Rhinolophus ferrumequinum: one gene and its partner. The protein of the gene in region 1 purifies or fractionates together with the protein of each later gene. This does not show direct contact. Links are inferred from orthologs where the notes say so. Each region holds a gene or a part of one and is shown in the gene's direction. Other genes may lie near its edges.

The links. The genes of interacting proteins can lie anywhere in the genome.
Region 2: the proteins of PINK1 (region 1) and VIM purify together in Homo sapiens (affinity purification with mass spectrometry; 3 studies listed by BioGRID and IntAct, with this or other methods). This does not show direct contact. The link is inferred for Rhinolophus ferrumequinum from reciprocal best matches to the Homo sapiens genes PINK1 and VIM.

Annotation. Positions count from the first base shown.
Region 1 is NC_046292.1:13,913,641-13,923,679, forward strand, and holds the start of PINK1 (serine/threonine-protein kinase PINK1, mitochondrial), read left to right. Parts: upstream 1-5,878; 5' UTR 5,879-5,922; coding exon 5,923-6,318; intron 6,319-10,039. UniProt on the Homo sapiens protein: Serine/threonine-protein kinase which acts as a sensor of mitochondrial damage and protects against mitochondrial dysfunction during cellular stress.
Region 2 is NW_022680355.1:3,290,270-3,300,493, forward strand, and holds the start of VIM (vimentin), read left to right. Parts: upstream 1-5,569; 5' UTR 5,570-5,706; coding exon 5,707-6,269; intron 6,270-6,935; coding exon 6,936-6,996; intron 6,997-9,354; coding exon 9,355-9,450; intron 9,451-9,537; coding exon 9,538-9,699; intron 9,700-9,982; coding exon 9,983-10,108; intron 10,109-10,224. UniProt on the Homo sapiens protein: Vimentins are class-III intermediate filaments found in various non-epithelial cells, especially mesenchymal cells. Vimentin is attached to the nucleus, endoplasmic reticulum, and mitochondria, either laterally or terminally.

The DNA of each region.
Region 1 (10,039 bases):
GGAGGGTCAGATGAAGTAGGCCTGATAAGCCCTGTTAAGGAGTTGACCTTATTTCAAAGCGCAGCCATCAGTTTCAAGGCAGCAGGAGGATGTGGTCAGTTTTGTGCCTTAAATAGCTCAGTCTGCCAAATCAAGAGATATTAGAGAGCTGAGGGAAACCACAGAAGAAATAGCTAAAAGAGTAAAATATTGTTACCTCTGGGCTTAGAAGGAGTCAGAAGAGGAGATTGTTGCTTTTCATGATTGAGCCTATCTATATATATTGTGAGTGTTTTTTAAACCACATATACATAATGCTTTTATTTAAAGGATTTTCTAATTTAAAAAAATGGAAAGGGAATAAAAAGAAAGAAGCTATAGAAAGGAAATTATTTTACCAATAATGTAGTGTAAATTCAAGAGCACAAATGCAGTAGGTGATTCTGTTTGGGGGGTGGGTGGGGGGTGTGAACTATTTGACATTCCTATGGCTTCCCTCTGTCTCAATGCTGGGAAGAAGGAGTGAGTCATGTGATTGGGAGTTTGTGTTCCCAGAAGGCTGTCAAAGAAGCACTGGAGATCCAGAAGGCCCTCTGCTGAGAGCTGGGAGGGTCGGGGGTGGGGCCTAAGCTTTAAAAATGACAATTTCTGTTCTTACAGATCTCACAGTTTAGAGGGGGCATCTAGCCCAGTCTAGGAAAGGTCAAGGAAGGCTTCCTGGAGGAGGTGGCCTCAAATGTGACCGGGGATTCTTTTAAGAGGCAAATCAAGACGGGATCAGCATGATGCTTGGGACAATGGCAAGTAATTCATGAAGGTAGGGAAAGGGCACAGCAAGAAAGATGCTAGGGCCAAATAGTGAAGGGCCTTCTGTGCCAAACTAAGGAGCTTAGATTTTATCCTTAGGGCAAAGGGCAGAGGCCAAGAGCCTGTGAAGGACTTTGTACAGTAGGTGACATAGTCATATTTTTACTTTGAATAATCACTGCAGGGCAGCAAATTTATTGGACTGCATGAACCACAGATTGTCTGAATTTCTTAGCTACACATCTCCGTAATCCACCAGCATCACATTTTGTCCAGGCAAAACAGAGATGCTTCTTCCCAGGGAAATCTCACTCTCTGCCCACTGTTGTCTGATTTTAACCTCCAAAAACTATAGCTCAGGAGTTTCAAGTAGCTGGATTTTGATCTGGCAGAAAGCAGGGTTTGCTCTGTCAACAGTTTCAGCAGAAACTCCTTCCACTTGTGTGGGCAATTTAGAGATAGCATTTCTGAAAAGGGCTGTGGATAAAGGACGTTGCTGCTCTGGGAAAAGATGTCTGTCTCCTGCCAGGAGGAGATGAAGGACACCGTTCAAAGAGGAAGGTCAAATTGCCCTCAACAGTTCTTTTTTTGTTTGTTTCTTTTTTAAGTCTTGTCTTTTTCCATTTTTATATTAGCATCAGCTTTTTATCCCACCGTGTCCTTTGGGGGAAGGTTAAACGATGCGTCTTAGGAATATTATGTACTTCACCAAACTACATGGTCCTGATGCCTAGAGGAAAAAGGGTACAATGATAACAGAGCAGGGTGTACAGCAGAGAAGAACAGCTCCCCTACCACTCCGTTCTCTAGTCCTTGTGACGGAGCTTATCAAAGCCTGTCTGGCACCTAGTGATATTTAATAATCTTCTAAGAACGGGAGGCTCTTCTGTAGAATAGTAAATCTGCAGTAGAAACAGATATCTCGTCAGAAAACCACATACCATATCCCCAACTTCCCCTTTTAGGGATACCTCTAAAGAGGTGGAAGATGCTATGCGAGAATCTCAGGACCATCCCCTGAGACCTGCCACCATGGAAAGACTTTTCCTTCTCTGAGAACAGAGGGGGACAAAAGGAATCAGGGTCGTGGTCCCAAAGAAAGGTAGCCTGGTGCCTCTCCATGATAAGGTTATATTATTGCCCTGAGAAAGAGGAACACAGAATCCCTGCAATTCTTACTGGAAGACTCTGTGTAGAAGACTCTTTGCTTCCAGCCAGATGGCTGCTGAAGAATCCAGCTTCATGCTGTGCTTGGTTCAGATCTGTCCAAACAACTTAGAGTTTTCTACAGAAGAAGTGAACCAGTCTAGTGCCATCTTGACCAAAGTCCAGCATTCTCTGTTGAACAAGAAACTACACAGCCTACAATGGTCTGGAGATTTGATTTCCACAGGTGGGTGGGTTAAGCATCACAGGTCTGGCAAGTGTATTTGCAGCTTAGAGGACTAAATCCAAAGGTTGATAACCAATGCACTCTTGAACTTAAAACAACTAATACAATGTCCCTTTAGGTAATATGTCTTACTATTACCAGACTCAGGCCCGGCACTGCTTGTCAACACCAAGAACCTGAATGACAACGGTTGATGAGAAGAAAAGCGTACTTTATTCTAGATGCCGGCAGCTAGCGAAGAAGGCAGACAAACGTCCAGAAAAAAAAACACCTTTTCGGAACTGAGAATAATCAAGAGGTTTTATAATCAAGCAGGCGGGTGGGGGAAAGAACAAAGAAAAGTGGGAGTTGGTCATGTAAATGTTTCAGGGCTGACAGTTGAGAAATTGCCTCCCAGGGCCTGGTCTGAGAAATCGCCTCCCATGGACTGGTCTGCTTCATAATATTATCTCGAAATCAGTAGCCGGGGCTGGAGTGTTTCGTGCATCATCAGCAAAAATTGCAAGGGAGTTGCAACCATGGATCCCGGTGTCCAGGCGGCAGAAAATTGAGAAATTGTTCTTTCCAGGTTAATGTTCTGCTGATTAATTAGATCAACAAGGTATGTATAGTCTTCAGAAAGGGAACAGAGCAGAGTTATTAAATCAGGCAGTGAGGGCAAAAACCAAAGAGAAAACAGCTGAATATCAGGAGGCTAAATAGCGAACTATGAGGAGATCCAAACTGCAAACTAGATAAATCTGTGTTATTGATTCCCAAGTTTCACCCTTACAGTACCAGCTATGTAGTTATCTCTAGCCTCATGGCAAAATGTTACATTCCTAGGAAAGAAAATTCTCGTAGTTAAAACTAAAGGTCTTAGAAGATCTCTTGTTCCCTCTCAGTAAACACTAAAGTGCTGTACTGATAATGACACATAGCAGATGAATAGACTTAAACTTTAAACGAGTCCTTTGCCCCAACTGAATTTCTTTCTAGACAGTGAAGTTTCTCTGATCCTCTCTTTCATATCTTTCTCTAAAGGACAATTTCAACAGAGCATTTTAAACTGTAATTTAAAATTCCCTGAGATCAACCAAAAAAAAATTAAAGACAATATCTGATTTCCACGTGCCTCTGTGTCAACATATGAAACGTCCAAATCTGTAGAGAATTTTTATGAGTTTATTTGGGCCAAACTGACAACAATTGCCAGGAAGCAAAATCTCAACGGATTGAGAAAATGCTCTGGAGAATGGCAGTTTTGCAGCTTTATTTTATACATTAGAATCAAAGGAGGAGACGTAAAGAGGGTTACATGAAATCCATTGGTGGTAGATTAAGGGGGCGGGAGAAAGCAAAGCAGGGAAGTCTCTGGGATTGGATAAAAAGTAAAACAGAGAGACATACTTCTTTTACATTGGTGGGTACAGGATAGTTCATAATGAACAGTTATAGCACATAGAGATGGTATTCGGGGAACAAGATAACAGTGAGGTGTTCTGTGGGTCTCTTGCTCTGGTCTGAGGGGTCTGGAAAAGGAGAGTACACTGACATTCCAAGGGCTCGTTATCTTAGGTGCAAAAAGACAATAGACAGGCTCACTTAAGGTAAAGATTGACCTTTTTGTCAAGGAAACTACAGGCATAGGACATGACTACCCATCATGCCTAGCTTTTATTAGGAATTTTTATATTCAGCCCATCCTGTGTAGTTACTTTCAGTCTTTGAGTTTGTAAGGCCTGCCATGCTGGCCTCCCCTGAGCTCGTCAGGTTTAGTGTGTGCCCTCTTTTTTGTCCATATCTGTAAATAAATTGGAAAGAAATTGATTTATTTATCTATTTATGTCTCTCCCAAATAAATGTCATTGGATATCACAAGGGCCCTGCAATTTCTCCCCATGAGAGCAATCAGAACACATACACATACACTGTTGAATCAGTTGTCCACCTGTCCCTAGCCAGGGATCCACCATATGACCAAGCAAGCCTGGGGGGCCAGAACTCTTCAGATGATCGAAGACTTCCTCCAGCAACAGCTACCATCTACATGTACTTCGATTTAGTATTTAAAGAGGAAGCAAGAGATGTGAAACTGAATATCAACAGGATAGTAACTAATATTATGGAATTAATGTTAATCTTTTAGAGGTGACACTGTTTATGATTTTTAAAAATAGTTCTTATCTTTTAGGTGCTCGTAGATACCGAAATGTTTATAAATGAAATAATACATCTGGGATTTGCTTTAAAGTAAGGGGGGGTAGTAGAAAGGTATTGTTAAAAAACAAAATTCAACCAAGTAAATCTGAAGATCTAATTGACTTTATTAAGTGATTCATGAATCAGGCAACATCCCCTCCAGTAACTAGAAGAGAGTGCTCCCAAGAGTTGTATAAAATGGAAAATTTTTACAGGAAGCGGAGTGGGGCAAGGAAGCTAATAATGGAAGAAAAGGATTATTTTGTGACAGGGACATCTTTTCTGTGGGAAAGTGAAGGGTTTTATTATGTAGATTGTCCCAATGGAGAGGGCTTACAAGTATGTTACCTTATTGGGGCTTGACCAGAAAATTCCATATTGGTTGATTATGTTTCTGGGAGAAGTCGAAACTGCAATTAGATCTGGTATTAAATATGGGTTTGGTATCATGGGCTTTTAGCATCAGTGATACCATGTGGGACCTGTTTTTTCTTTTCTTTAACAGTATAGATAAATAAACTAATGACCGTTTGTTGATAATTTGTTGAAGCAGGTGAATGTGTACATAGGGTTCACTATACTATTTTTGTGTTTGAAATTTTCCGTTTTTAAAAAAAGGCAAGAAACGGGCGGCTGGATGGCTCAGTTGGTTAGAGCGTGAGCTCTTAACAACAAGGTTGCCAGTTCAATTCCCGCATGGGATGGTGGGCTGCGCCCCCTGCAACTAAGATTAAAAACCGCGACTGGACTTGGAGCTGGGCTGTGTCCTCCACAACTAGATTAAAGGACAACTATTTGAAGCTGATGGGCCCTGGAGAAACACACTGTTCCCCAATATTCCCCAATAAAAATTTTTTTTAAAAAGGCAAGAAAAAAAGAAATCACTCATTATAAATCCTTTCATCAGCATTTCTAACAGTGGGTTTGGGTAACAGGGCTCTGCCACCAACAAGCTGTGACTGGGCAAATCCTTCCATGTCTCCGGAATTCAGCTCACTCATCTGAAAAATGTCGTTCATCTGAAAAATGTCGCCTTTGGGTGGGATTTCTCTTGGAGTACTAAGAAGTGAGCAGGGGCTGTGCGTTTGTAGAGAGGAGCTTAAAGGCATTGGGGAGAGTAAGGACTCAATAGTTATGGCAAATGAACTTGAATGTCACCTGATTGTCACTGCCCTTTCTATGAGTCAGTTTCCTTACCTATAAAAATGATATTCCTATCTTCTTGGTGGGAATATTAAATAAATTAACAGTTGTAAAGACTCTGGCACCACGGGTGATACTCAATAAACATTAGTTTTCCTTCTCAACTTCTCGACTGTTCACAATCTGGACCTGCCTGACACGCAACCCCTCCACCCTGGGTCCAAAGTGCAAAAGGGCAAGCAACTACCCGCAGCCAGGTGCGCGCACAGCGCCCCCGCGCGCCCAGCCAGGGAACCGCCAGATCGGCGACCCCGCCCATCGGCCTCCGCGCCTGCGCAGAGGCACCGCCCCAAAGTTTCTTGTTGTGACCGGCGTCCCCGACGCCTGCGGCTGCTGGTGCACTTGGTCGCGGCGCTACTATGGCGGTGCGACAGGCGCTGGGTCGGGGCCTGCAGCTGGGTCGGGCGCTGCTGCTGCGTTTCACGGCCAAGCCTGGCCCGGTCTACGGCTGGGGGCGGCCAGAGCGGCCGGGCCCCGCGGCGGCCTGGGGCCGCGGAGAGCGCCCGGGCCAGGCCGCGGGACCCGGCGCGGAGCCGCACAGGCTCGGGCTCGGGCTCCCCGACCGCTACCGCTTCTTCCGCCAGTCGGTGGCCGGGCTGGCGGCGCGGCTCCAGCGGCAGTTCGTGGTGCGGGCCCGGGGCGGCGCGGGCCCTTGCGGCCGGGCCGTCTTTCTGGCCTTCGGGCTGGGGCTGGGCCTCGTCGAGGAGAAGCAGGCGGAGGGCCGGCGGGCGGCCTCGGCCTGTCAGGAGATCCAGGTGAGCACTGGCCGCGGACAGCGAGGATGGAGCCCAGTGTCACGCTAGGAGCGGGACTTTAAGTCGATGGGGGACGGGGCTGGGGATGTGAGCCGGGGCTTGAGCGTTGTGAGGGGCGGTGCTAGGGTGTGGGCGTGGCGAGGGGCGGGGCTGGGGGCATTGACTGACGGGGGCCCTGGATCAATATTTATCCTTGTCAGACCCGGAAATTCCTTGCAAATCACCGATTAAGGCTCATTTTCGGTGTTAACTGATCTCCTGGTATGGGGCCAGCACCTCCCATTTGTTTTACTGTCTTCCCTTCCTCAAACAGCACGTTTTGGAAGATAATGCTGCTAATTACAGCTCCTGTTGCACCATTGCTAATGACTCTGCGTAAATTTTGTAAAATTTAATGACAAGTCACAACGCTTCTATCCCTGAGGTAGTGGTCATCCCCAATTTATGGATGAGGAAACGTACTCAGAGAGGTGAAGTAACTTGCCCGAAGTCACACAGCTAATAAAGAGCAGTGCCCAAAGTCTGACTCTCCAAGGCCTGTACCCTTAACCACTGAGCCAGTCTGCCTCCACAGTTTAGCCAAACAATTAGTGACACAGCTGAAATCAAAGTAAAACCATGAACAGCAGGAGAAAATAGCACACCTAACAGTTTTTAGTCAACCTGTGAGCGTTATTAGGAGAGAGTGAATATGTTATTAGGCTCTTTTAAATGCTTAAAATAGCCCAGAGACCTCTCTCTGTTTCTCCTCTACCAAAATCTGTATTAGTCAGCGTTCTCTAGAGATACAGAACCAATAGGATGTGTTTATAGAAAAAGAGGTTTATTTTAAGGAGTTGGCTCTGCAATTCTGGAGGCTGGCAAGTCTCCCAAAAATCGTTTGGGTAGGTAGGCAGGATGGAGACCCAGGGAAGAGCCATTGTTGTAGTTCAAGTGTGAAAGCCACATGCTGGCAGAATTCTCTCCTCTTTTTGGGAGTTCAGCCTTCTTCCTGGGGTTTGGAGCCACTGTTAGTACAACCCCTACAATTGACAATTTAGGGCTGAGGTGGTGGAAGATGGAGTCACTTGCCCAAGGACACCTCTGGTTAAGGACCAAGCATGTTTCCTGGTTTCCAGCCCAGTTCTTGTTACTCAGCCAGAATGTCTCATGTTTGAGCTCAGGCTAGTTTGGGACGACAGGTGACATCTGACCTAGTCCCCAGCCACTGTCCTTGTCTTTTGCTACAGCTTAACTGGCAGAAGCCAAAGGTGGGAAATTTGATAATCCTGCTTAGAATTATGGAGGCTTTTTTTTTTTTTTAACTGAGGAGCTTGGTCCTTCTGAGCTTATTATCTGTACATCCTTTTCTTACATTTTACCCTACTGTGTCTTAAAATGTTTAATTAGTTGATGATTAATATTAAAAATTCAGGTGTTCCACTTTTGAAAATAATCACCAGCGCTGGCAACTCTAATGCTAAAATTCCATATGGTGTCAGACCAGACAAAGTAAAAGAAAGGCTACTCCTTTTAGATGGAGGCATGTGGGGAAAAAAAAAACAACAATCCAGTTATAAAATAGGCAAAAGACATGAGTGTGTATTTCACCAAGAGGAGATACAGATGCCAAATAAGTATATGAAAAGATATTCAGCATCAGGGAATGCCATTAGGGAAATGCAGATTGAAAACACAATGTGATATCACTGCATACTTATTAGGACAGCTAAAATTTAAAAAAAAAAATAGTGATAATACCAAATGCTGGTGAAGATGCAGAGAAACTGGACTGCTGGTGAGAATATAAAATGGTACAACAACTCTGGAAAATAATGAGCAGATTTTTACAAAATTAAACATGCAGTACCATATGACCCAGCCATTGCAGTCTTGGGCGTTTACCCAGAGAAATAAAAACTTGTATTCACACAAAAACCTGTACACAACTTGCTGCTATCTAAAACAGTGTGGTAGTTCCCCCAGAAATTAAAAATGAAATTATCATATGATCCAGCAATTTCACTTCTGGGCGTACACCCCAAAGAATTGAGAGCAGGGATTTGAACAGGTATTTGTACACCTGTGTTCATAGCAGCATTATTCAGAATAGTCAGAAGGTGGAAGCAACCCACGTGTGCATCAATGGATGGATAAATAAGCAAATGTGGAATATACATACAATGTAATATTCACCTTAAAAAGGAAGGAAATTCCGACATATGCTACAACATGGATGAACCTTGGGGACAATATGCTAAGTGAAATAAGCCAGACACAAAAAGACACAGTCTCAGGCTTCCGCTCATCTGCGGTACTTAGAGTTGTCAAATGCATAGAGACATAAAGTAAAATGGGGGCCGCCAGGAGCTGGAAGGAGAAGGGCTGGGGAGTTACGGGTTAATGGGTATTGAATTTGAGATTTGCAAGATGAAAAATGTTCTGGAGCTGGATGGTGGTGATGGTTGTACAACAATGTGAATGTACTTAATGCCACTGAACTGTGCACTTAAAAATGGTTTTAATGGTCAGTTTTATGTTATGTATATTTTACCACAGTTCTTAAAAAATGGTTTAAAACCCTGTACAGAAATCATAGCATCATTCATAACAGCAAAATAGTATACACAACTGAACCGTCCTTCTGCAGGTGGATTGTTAAACTCTCGTATCCATACAGTGGGATACCAAGCGATAATAAGGAATTAACTGCTGATGGTGGTAACCAGCTACGCGAACCTCAAGGGCATTGTGCTGAGTGAAAAAAGTCCGTCCCGGAAGGTTATACTGGGTGATTCCATTTATATAACTTTCTTTAAATGACAAAACTATCGATATGGAAAACAGATCAGTGAATGACAGGGGGTAGGGCCGGGGTAGGGGGTGGCACAAATACAAAGAGGTAACACAAAGGAGTTTTTTGAGCCTATGCATGGGATAAAATTGCATAGAGCTACACACATGCGCACACACACACACACAAATGAATGTGGGTTAAAAAAGATGGTGAAAACTGAGTAAGGTCTGTAGTGAACAGTGGTATACCAGTTGCTTTCCTGATTTTGACACTGTACTGATGCTTTATAAAATGTCACCATTGGGGGAAACTGGGTGAAGGGTACACAGGGCACTCTGTACTATCTTTTTGCAACTTCCGTGAGTCTAAATTATTTCAAAATAAAAAGTTAAAAAGCTATATCACATTCTCAAAACCATGGTTGATAAAGGATTACTCTACAAAATGCTGCTTCTGCTCTGTGGAGTTTAGAGACTAGTAGACAACACAAGGTAGACTTCCATTTTTCTAAGAAGTAAAAGTTACCGTGCAAGGTGTATTAGCTTATAGATAGTGCTTTAGGACTCCTCCAGAAGGAAAGGTGGCTGTGGGCTGGGTTGTCAGAGCTGGTTATACAGGAAGGAGGAGCTTGAGTTGGGACTCCATGGGTGATGGGGCATGAGCCAGGCAGAGCAAAACAATAGAAATAGGGGCTGAGGGGAATAGTATGAGCTAAGAGGCAGAGAGGCATATGAAAGGTAAGTAGGGGCGGTGCACAGGCCAGCCTGGCAAAACAGTTTTCACGTACAGGAAGTACCAGGACAAGGCACCGAATAACCTATTGGTTAGGTTTCTGAACAGAAGGGTGACTCGTGAAAGCAGTGTAGTTTGATCTGGCTCAGAAACAGGTGAGGGGATGACGCAAGAATGGGAAAGTCTAGAGATGAGTAAACATGGAAAGGAAGG
Region 2 (10,224 bases), on another chromosome or scaffold:
CATCCTTATTACAAATTGTAATTACTTTGCTCGTTCCTTTACTTGACCATTGTCTCCCTGTATCACACATACGCACATGGGGACTCAACTCTTCATTCCCAGAATACATGCGTTAAACCTGCCTTGTTGACTTTCCCCACTGTCTACCAGCATGCTTGGTCCACGGTAAATATTCAATAAACATATTTTGAGTAAGCAAATGAAATGTGTGTATCATCGTAATATTAATAGCTTGTAAAGATCAAATGCAGTCACATGTAAAATGACTAGCACAATGCATGACTACAACAGGCACTAGTCAATATTCCCTCCCTCCTCCCTTCTTCTCTTCCTCCCACCTCCCTCTCTCCCTTCCTCTATGAACTACTCATGGATTAATTCATACATTCAACAAATGTGCCAGGCTTCTCTCCAGACTTCGAGATAGCATAGTGAACAACAGAGAAAAAAAAATCCCTGCCTTCATGGAGCTTACATTCTGAAAGAATGACTGGTTCTTTCTGGATTTTCAGGGAGTCTTATGAAGGCAGTTATTAACAAAAAGGGGTGTGGCTTGAAGGCAGACACATCGGTGGGGGTAAGAAGAGCCTGGAGGAGGGAAGCCAATAACAGTACCACAGGGATGAAGTATAACACGGCTGGGATGAGTGACAGTTACACAACAGAGGAGTGGATATAGGAAGCAATGGGACAAGGCACCCACTGGAGTTGTATGATCCACGAGTGAGGAAGTTGCAATGATGCAAGTTTCCAATCTCGTTAGTTTGCTGTGTTGCCCTGACTAGACAGGGGAAGTTAGGAGGGGAAGCTACTGTGGTTGGTGGGTTTTGGGGTGTGGGATCAGCTACACCCAATTTTGGATACGATGCCTCTGAAGAGAGGGAAAGGAATGTAGGTGAAAGTGCTTAGTACTCAGAGTAAGCATTTAGACTACAGGTGAAAGCCAAACTCCCTTCTTATCTATTATATGAGGCCTGACAATTAAGTTCCCGAACTTGTTCCAACAATGTTGTTAACCTTCTGTTGATCAGAAGGATTACTCATTATGAATTTGTACCAACTGGATAAACAGTTAACCAAGTTTACTTTCTGGAAGTGCTGAAAAAACTGCATGAACAAGTTAGACGACCTGAACTTTTCGCCAACAATTCATGGCTTTTACATCACAACAATGTACCAACTCACAGGTCACTGTCTGTGAGGGAGTTTTTGGCCAGTAAACAAATAACTGGATTGGAACACCCTCCCTACTCACCTGATCTGGCGCCCAGTGACTTCTTTCTTTACACGAAGATAAAGGAAATATTGAAAGGAAGACATTTTGATGACATTCGGGACATCAAGGGTAATACGACGATAGCTCTGCTGGCCATTCCAGAGAAACAGTTCCACAATTGCTTTGAAGGATGAACTAGGCGCGGGCGTTGGTGCATAGCTTCCTAGGGAGAGTACTTGGAAGGTGACCGGAATGATATTCAGCAATGAGGTATGAAGCACTTTTTCTAGGATGAGTTCATGAACTTAATTGTCTGACCTTGTAAATCAGTGACATCTGAATAACATAAAACATTTCTTAATATCTGCCAGACTCCTCTGGGAATCTGCTCCTGCACAACATAATTGATAATTATCCTGTCTTTTCTCTTTTCAGTTCCTAGAACACAGTCGGGCCCTAAATAATATTTGTGAATTGAACTGGTTGACAGTAAGCAAAATCATCATGGCAAAGAGAAAAGAAAAAATGCATTTGGACTCAGTCCAAATTCTTGCTCCCTTCCTCTCTCCTACTAGTTAAAGACCGTGAGCAAATTGTTAGCCTGCATTTTAGACACTTCATGTATGCAATGGATGATCAACTCTATCTCACAGGATGTTGTGAGAGCATTAAATTAAGTCCATGCAAAGTTCAGGTCATCCAGTGGGCACAGAAAACAGGCATTTATCATAGTATTGTTATCTTTGCTTCCATACCTTTTAGGTTTGCCATGCTTTTCACCATCTCACTTAATCCACTTGCTCATTTCTAACATTCCATCCAGGCGATCCTGCTAGAAGCTGTCCTCTTGGCACGGCTACCTGCCAGCCAGCTCTCCTAAAGCTCCCACAGGCCACTGAGCTCCTCTCCTCATGGCTGGCTGGTCCGTCAGTTCTCATCACCCAATGCAACTGAAATTACTACAGCTGGCAAATTCCAAAATCACTGTCAGTACTTTAGATTTGGTGATGTTTACACCTGGCCTACAAATTGCACCTTTGTGTCCTTATTTATACACAACCTGCATCATGCAGTGTTTGAAGCAGCTTCACAGTCCAGCATTTAAAGCTACTCTGAGATAGGTATTTCACAGCAATCATAAGTAAATATGAAAACTGAAAAAGCTATGTCTATATCCTGCTTGCTTCCAAAAAGTAAGCAGGATGAGTTAATCATATTCAAGGATGTTACTTCAAACATACTGATTTCCCTCAGCGATGACTGTCATCCACTGGTCGGGGCATTGCGCTAGATAGACATTGTATAATTTACTTCCCAATGCATTTACTTCTTTCCAAAGTCTCATGCATTCTATATAAATGAGTAAAAGTGTTTTTGTAACCTTCACTTTTCTACACTCTATAGTCCACCCCAAGCTATGGCAATTTCTAATAGGAAGCACACACCAGAGACTGTGTGTGTGTGTGTGTGTGTGTGTACACGCACACACTCGCTGTATGGCCAGTGCAATGGGCTGAATGTTTGTACTCTACCCCGAAATTCCTATGTTAGAACCCTAATCTCCAAAGTGATGGTATTTGGAGGTGGGGCCTTTGAGAGGTGATGAGGTTTTAGATGTGCAGTTTAGAGTAAAGCCCCATGACGGGATTAGTGCCCTTATAAGAAAAGGGAGAGGCCAGTGTTTGCTTCCCCTGCACTTCATGTGAGGACACAGCAAGAAGGCAGCTGTCTGCAAACCAGGAAGCAGGTCCTCATCAGACACCAAATCTGTGGGCACCTTGATCTTGGACTTCCTGCCTCCAGAAGTGTGAGAAAGAAATGTGTATTCTGTGTGCCACGCCATCTGTGGTATTTTGTCATAGCAGCCTGAGCTGTGACAGCAAGTGAATACATCACAGTCCTGAAAAATCAGATTGGAGAAGGGATACCCCTGAGATGGTGAGGAGGTCCAGAGTCCATCCCAGAGGAAGTCACCACAGCCCTGAGGAATCTGCTGTGGTCACCAGCAGGGCACTGGCCACGCTGCACCAGAGCCTTGCCCTCATTTTCCATGGTGAGTCAGTCAGCAAGCGTCCCCTGATAGCAAGCGTCACCACTGCATTGCCCTGGGATCAGCATTTTAGGTGGGAGGAAGGTCCACCCTCTTTCCCCCCATATTGAGAGGACTTTTTCTCATTCTAAGGGTTCCAGGCAAACTCACAATGGTGACATTTCCTGACCAGTGGCTTAAATAAAGGGCTCTCAGAGAGCAAGATGATAACGTGGAGCATAAGCTGGTTTGCGAGGGCACTGAGCCCCAGGAATGCTCCTTGGGAGGGATACACAGCCTCCCAGTGTCAGAGAGAATAAAGGAAACCCACAGCAGGGGAGCTGTGTAGCAAAGGGTCCTGCAGCTCAACTCTGGCAGTGCACTAGGGCAGAAGTAACTGAAATGAGGTAAACAAAATATTGCCTGAAAGACGCTTGTACAAAGAAGCTAGAATAAAACCTTCAGTTGGTTCTACACTATTTTTCTTAAATGCTAGGTAACCTGCAGTACCCCTCTGCAAAAAAGAAAAAAAAATACAAGAGCCAGAAGGAGGGTTTTACTTATTCCCCCCCCCCCACCTCACCTATTCACTATAGAATCAAGATGCTTCTGTTTTTACAGAGGTTTTGGAATTAATCCTTTCAGTACTCCCTAAATTTTCTATGCACTCAAAAACAAACAAACAAACAAAAAACCCTGATTTTTTACATTGCTACTTAATTCAAAAAGACTGGCTCGCCTTCACTCTCTTCATCTCCCTTTAGAGGTAACTTTGTTCTGCATGTTTCTAATATTGCAACAATAGCCCTTGAGTGATTTACCTAGAAAGGTTTTGGTCATGGACTCTGAACACTCCCTTGGTGCTCTGGACTAAACGCTTTTTGTTCTGTAGACAGTTTTCTCTGCCCAAATTCTTCTGGAAAACAGGCCGAAAGAACCTGTGGCATTTCCCAGACACGTCACCAGAATCCTGCAGTGTGCACAGCTAAATGAACACATAAATCGATCCTCCCCCCAAACATTATGACCTTTGAGTCACATAATTGCTTTTCATTAATCAAATTGGAGTTTTAAAGCAACACTTAATTAATTCTATAATTGGCGCAGATTATACCTTTAATGACTTCCACTGTAGCACAAAAACCAGTGATCACTGAATTTGATTTTGAAACTACGGACGCTGAGTTTCCTCTTTCACCCAGAAGTTTCAGATCTTGTTCAAAGTTGGGTGTGGTTTCGTGGGGGGGGAGTGGGGGAGGCCGAGAGGAGACCCGAGGGGAGAGTGGGAAGAAACTTGGCAAGAAAAAACCCGTGTTTGGGCGGCTATCCAGGGTCTGCATATGTTTCTTGCTAAGAAGTCCGCACATTGGAGCAAAATCAGGCTTTGGCGAGTTCTTAAGAACTCCGAGGCGCTGTAGTCTCCCCTACCAGAGAACTACACACAAGAATGCGGCGGCCCGCCTCGAAGTTGGGTAAAACTTGGAAAACCAGTGCGCGCGGGGCCCGGGGAGACCTGAGTCAATCCCGTCTAACGGTTCCCGCAAACCGCTAGGAGCCCTCAACCTAGGCAGGCAGAGAGCACAGTGACTCACTGCCAGTGACTCAACGACCCCACCCCACTCCCTGGGGTCGCCGCCTCGAAGCTCACGCGGTCCAAAGCCGGACCAAGCCCGTCACGTCCCTGAACAGGAACCCTAAGGCGAAAGGGTAAAAAGAGATGCGGGCCAGAGCGATCCCTTTCCAAGCCCAACACGCGAGGCGGCACCGGGGCCCGAGCCCTGCGTCCTGGGCTGTGCGCCCCCCACCTCGCGCTCCAATCTCAGGCGCTCTTTGTTTCTGTTACCACGCCTTCCAATCTGCTGGATCCCTTACTCCCCCTCTTCCTACTCCTTTGCCGGTGCGTCTCCGCACCCACCCGCTCCCCGACCGCTCTTGTAGCCACCCGCCCCTCCCAATTGCGCGCCTCCTCCCACGCCTCTTTGGCGAGGTGCCCGGGACCCCTTTGATCCAGTCTTGGGTGCGTTCCCCCACCAACGTGCGACCCCGCCTTTTTCAGCACCCAGGGGTGAGCAGAGCTCAGGCCATCATCAGGAAAGCCCCCAAAAGTCCCTGCCCAGCCAAGAAGTAACGGGACCATGCTCAGTCGCGAGAGCCGAGGAGCAGGGAGGAGGAAGACTCCAAAGTGCCCACGCCCCAACCCCCTCCCACCCTTCCCGCTACTCGCCGGGTCCCCATTGGCTGGCGAACTCCGGATGGAGGTGGGAGGGGACCCTTTACCATCAACGTTATAAAAACTGCGCCCTCGGCGGGGTCCCGTCCTCTGCCACTCTCGCTCCAGGGTCTCCGCGCCAGAGACGCAGCAGCGTTCCCACCGCCCACACCCACCGCGCCCTTGCTCGCCTCTGCCCGGAGCCAGTCCGCGCCGCCACAGCCACCCAGCCCATTGCCACCCTCCGCAGCCATGTCCACCAGGTCCATGTCCTCGTCCTCCTACCGCAGGATGTTCGGCGGCCCCGGCACCGCCAGCCGGCCGAGCTCCAGCCGGAGCTACGTGACCTCGTCCACCCGCAGCTACAGTCTGGGCAGCGCTCTGCGCCCCAGCACCAGCCGCAGCGTCTACGCCTCGGCCCCCGGCGGTATGTACGCTACGCGCTCCTCGGCGGTCCGCCTGCGGAGCGGTGTCCCGGGCTTGCGGCTGCTGCAGGACTCGGTGGACTTCTCGCTGGCCGACGCCATCAACACCGAGTTCAAGAACACCCGCACGAACGAGAAGGTGGAGTTGCAGGAGCTGAATGACCGCTTCGCCAACTACATCGACAAGGTGCGCTTCCTGGAGCAACAGAACAAGATCCTGCTGGCCGAGCTCGAGCAGCTCAAGGGCCAGGGCAAGTCGCGACTGGGGGACCTCTACGAGGAGGAGATGCGGGAGCTGCGCCGGCAGGTGGACCAGCTCACCAACGACAAGGCCCGCGTCGAGGTGGAGCGCGACAACCTGGCCGAGGACGTTATGCGGCTCCGGGAGAAGTAAGGCGACGCCCACGCGGGGCCGCGGGAGGGAGGGAGAGGGGTTCGCGCCCCCCCCCAAGAGGAGCTGCCACGCCCTTGGGGATGTAACCGGGGCGGCGGCAGCGGGGGGTGGGGGGGGGAGGGGGGATAGCAGCGAAGCGGGGATGTGGCTGCGATGGCTCAGCCCGGCCCGGAACCCAGACTTTGCAGTTCCCCTCTACACCCACTCATTGCTTAAGAACGCCCGTTTCAGGTTGCATTTTTTTTTGAAAGTGCCAGTTGTTAGTTGAAGGCCCTTGCAAACGATGAGCGCAGTTCGTTCAAACTCTTAGAAAGTTTCCTGGCCCCTTCTGGCGGACTGCCAGCCCTGAGGCGGGGGTGGGGGGGGGTAGAAACTGTGCCGGAAGCTAGACAAAGGGGTTGCAGAGGCTTCTCGGGGACGGGGTGACGGCGTTCGCCTTGCAGGTAGGTCCCTGCGACCACCGTGATTGCTTTTCTACTCTGCGACCCAAGTCCCGCTAAAACTTGTCGAGGGTGACAGTTCCGAAAGCTGCAGTCGCTGGGTGCCCGCGGAGGTGGCGCAGCAACTATTGTCTCGCTGCACAGCGACTTGGTGGTTGGGTGTGGCCGCCCCGCCCCTGGCGGTTTCCCAGTTCCCCTCTGGTTAATGTGCAACTGTTTCAGATTGCAGGAGGAGATGCTTCAGAGAGAGGATGCCGAGGGAACCCTGCAGTCTTTCAGACAGGTTTGTAGATCCTCTTCCCATTCGCAGCCACTGGACCCCACCCAACCAACCCAAGCCACGCGCAATTCTAAAAGTTACCCCAAGTCTAAGAGTGCAAAACTTCACGTCTGTGCGCAAAGCCCCCTAGTGGCAAAAAGACCCCAGATTGGAGCTTCCTCGATAAAATCCCTAGGATGATTGTTCTTAAGGACAGAGTCTTTAACTTTTTACTTTGTTTCCAGATTTTTTCCAAAGAAATATTTTTTCCGTTTATTTCTTGCAACACATTGATAATCTGATTTACAACAGTTACAGTTTGAGTGAGATTGCTGTTTGTGAAGTCAAGTTGGCTAACTTTTTACAAAGCCACAAAAAGCGCAATTCTGCCCTGTAGTTAAAAATGTAAAACGTGTTGGAGGATAAGAAAGTTAGCTTAACTGGAACGAAGCCAGCAAGGTTTTCTCCTTTGCAAATTCTATTGTGGCATTAAAATTAGATGGAAGTATCGCTATGCACAACTATTTTGTGGTCTAATAAGTGTGAAAAGGAGCCATCTGTCCTCTGGCTGAAAGGTATTAATGGTTTCTCTGGGCTTCACTATGGAATGTAGATACAGACTCTGGCTAGTGTGATGGCTCTGGACAGAAATAATAGGAGTCTTTGTGTTCCCAGAGAAGCTTTGCAACAGGCTACATTCTTATTGAATATGTAATGATGTAAGCACAATTCTAATTGGACACAAGTATTTGCTAACATCCGTTATCTAATATCTGGCCCAGACTTGTGAAGTATGTGATGTGAAAAGTTCTTAAAGCTACAATCATGCCTCACATTTGGAAAGGTCTTAATACTTTTTAACTTCTCTCCATAAATAAAGAATAACCCCAAGGCTGAAAAATGGAATTTTAATTAAAGGGGTTTTTTGTGTTGTTTTTTTGTTTGTTTTTGCTCCAAAGTTAGATGGATTTAAAGGATTTTTTTAAACTTAAAGTTGGAATTCAAAAGCAGGAAGAGTTCCCAGCATAGCTGAATAACAATTTGAAGCAGAAATACATTTGCCAAAATAATTTAAACACAGCAATGTGTGGTCATTTTAGTCATTGGGCATTTATGATCATCATATTTGTAATGTTTTTCAGGGTAGTGAGTTAACATAAAACAGTATTAGTATAAAAGATCTGTTTAGGGATTAAGTAACATTCCTCATATTCTCTTCAATGAAGTAGAATGTCACATTATACTTTTTAAAATAGAGGCTAGCAAGTTATTTCTTACATCTTTTTTTTAGGGCTTACTAACAAGCAAAAATGAATTTTTCCAAAGCCTCATTATTTTTAAATCATCACCCATTCCTCAGTTACATTCCCATAAAGGTAGAAGAAGTATCAACATTTTAAGACGATAAGGCTATAAAACTATACTCCAAAGATAACCGCTTACAAGATCAGAGGTATAAAAATCCTTATGATATTCCCTTGAGGGGAAATAAAATCTGAGTTGTAACACAGTGGGAACTCAGAAGGAGAGCCAAAGTAGCAAGAATTCTACATATACAGTAGTTTCATTATATGCAAAAGTTTTGATCAGTCATTCTGAAACTAAGTAACTGAATTGACACAGTGCTAAGTGAAAAGGATGGACACACCCTGTAGAATGAGGCAGGGGTTTCAGAAAGGAAAAAAATTCACCAGCGAAAGCAAAGAAAATACAGTTCAGAGTTACATTTCTTTTCATGATTTGCTTGATCTGCATCTTTGCCAGTGTCCATCCTGAATTGGAGTATTAATCTAGCTTTGTAACTTGAATGCCAGATGACTCCATATTTGCTTTGGATCGTAAGGATCCAATTCAGGAGATTTGAGCAGAGGGGGTTGGAAATAGAGCTTTGGTACACACATTTGAAGTGCAAATTTCTGTTCTACATGTACTCATGCATTTATGAAGTTGTGACATCTGGTCAACTCCTAGCATTGCATTATTCCATGACATTTCAAAAAAAATTTTTTTAATGCTGTGGCATTGATTTTCCAAATTAAAAAAAAAAAAAAAAAAAAAAAAAAACTTCACTGGTATAATGTGGATTCAGTAGTAATTTACCGAGTACAGTTTACCATGGTGGGATACATTTATTTATTTTTAAATTGTCTGTTAGTCACCTTGAGTACACCACAGTGGGTCACAATTCAAATTTTTTAATGAAGAGAAGAAAACATAGTATATTAAGCACTGGGTAATTTACAAACTTACTCGAAAGTCATAAAATTTGTCAACACCCTTTTTATACTAAATACAATGAGCTCAGATGGTTAATTTGAAATGACTAAATAAGCCATAGACTTTAGCATCTTCAATGTCTTGTCTTTTCTCTTTTCAAAATAGGATGTTGACAATGCTTCTTTGGCACGTCTTGACCTTGAGCGTAAAGTGGAATCCTTGCAAGAAGAAATTGTCTTTTTGAAGAAACTGCATGAGGAGGTAAGCGGAGTCCCTTTTCATGAATGAACATGGGTGAAGCTACTCCCATACTTGGGATGGCTGACCTTCTGTCTGTTCTTTCTTGAGGAAATCGGGGAGCTGCAGGCTCAGATTCAGGAACAGCATGTCCAAATTGATGTGGATGTTTCCAAGCCTGACCTCACGGCTGCCCTGCGCGACGTACGTCAGCAATACGAAAGCGTGGCTGCCAAGAATCTTCAGGAGGCTGAAGAATGGTACAAGTCCAAGGTATGAAACAAGCTAATGTGGCTAGACCAAAAGAAAAGCACTTTGTTCTGCAAACGCTCTACCTGTCTGTGATTCCTAAATACCCTTTAGCTACCGTCAGAAAGGTGGCTTTAACTTCAAGTTTTGTTTGTTGCTATAGCCTCCTCACCACGGCACTCCTCAGCCTCCATAATAGCCTTATTTGTTTGCGATCTTTACGCTTTCTCATTTGTCCAGGTAAGGTAGAATCTCAGACAGAATCGAGTCGTTTGGGTGATCTACATTTCTGATTTCTTTCTGACAGTTTGCTGACCTGTCCGAGGCTGCTAACCGGAACAATGATGCCCTGCGCCAGGCAAAGCAGGAGTCAAATGAGTACCGGAGACAGGTGCAGTCCCTCACCTGCGAAGTGGACGCTCTTAAAGGAACCGTGAGTATCACACTGCAGTAAAAGAGGGACAGTAACCCACTTAGATCTGTTCCATTGACCAAACTCCTGGTGACGTCTGAACAAAAGTTCAGTTGAAGACAAATGTCTATCAAAAG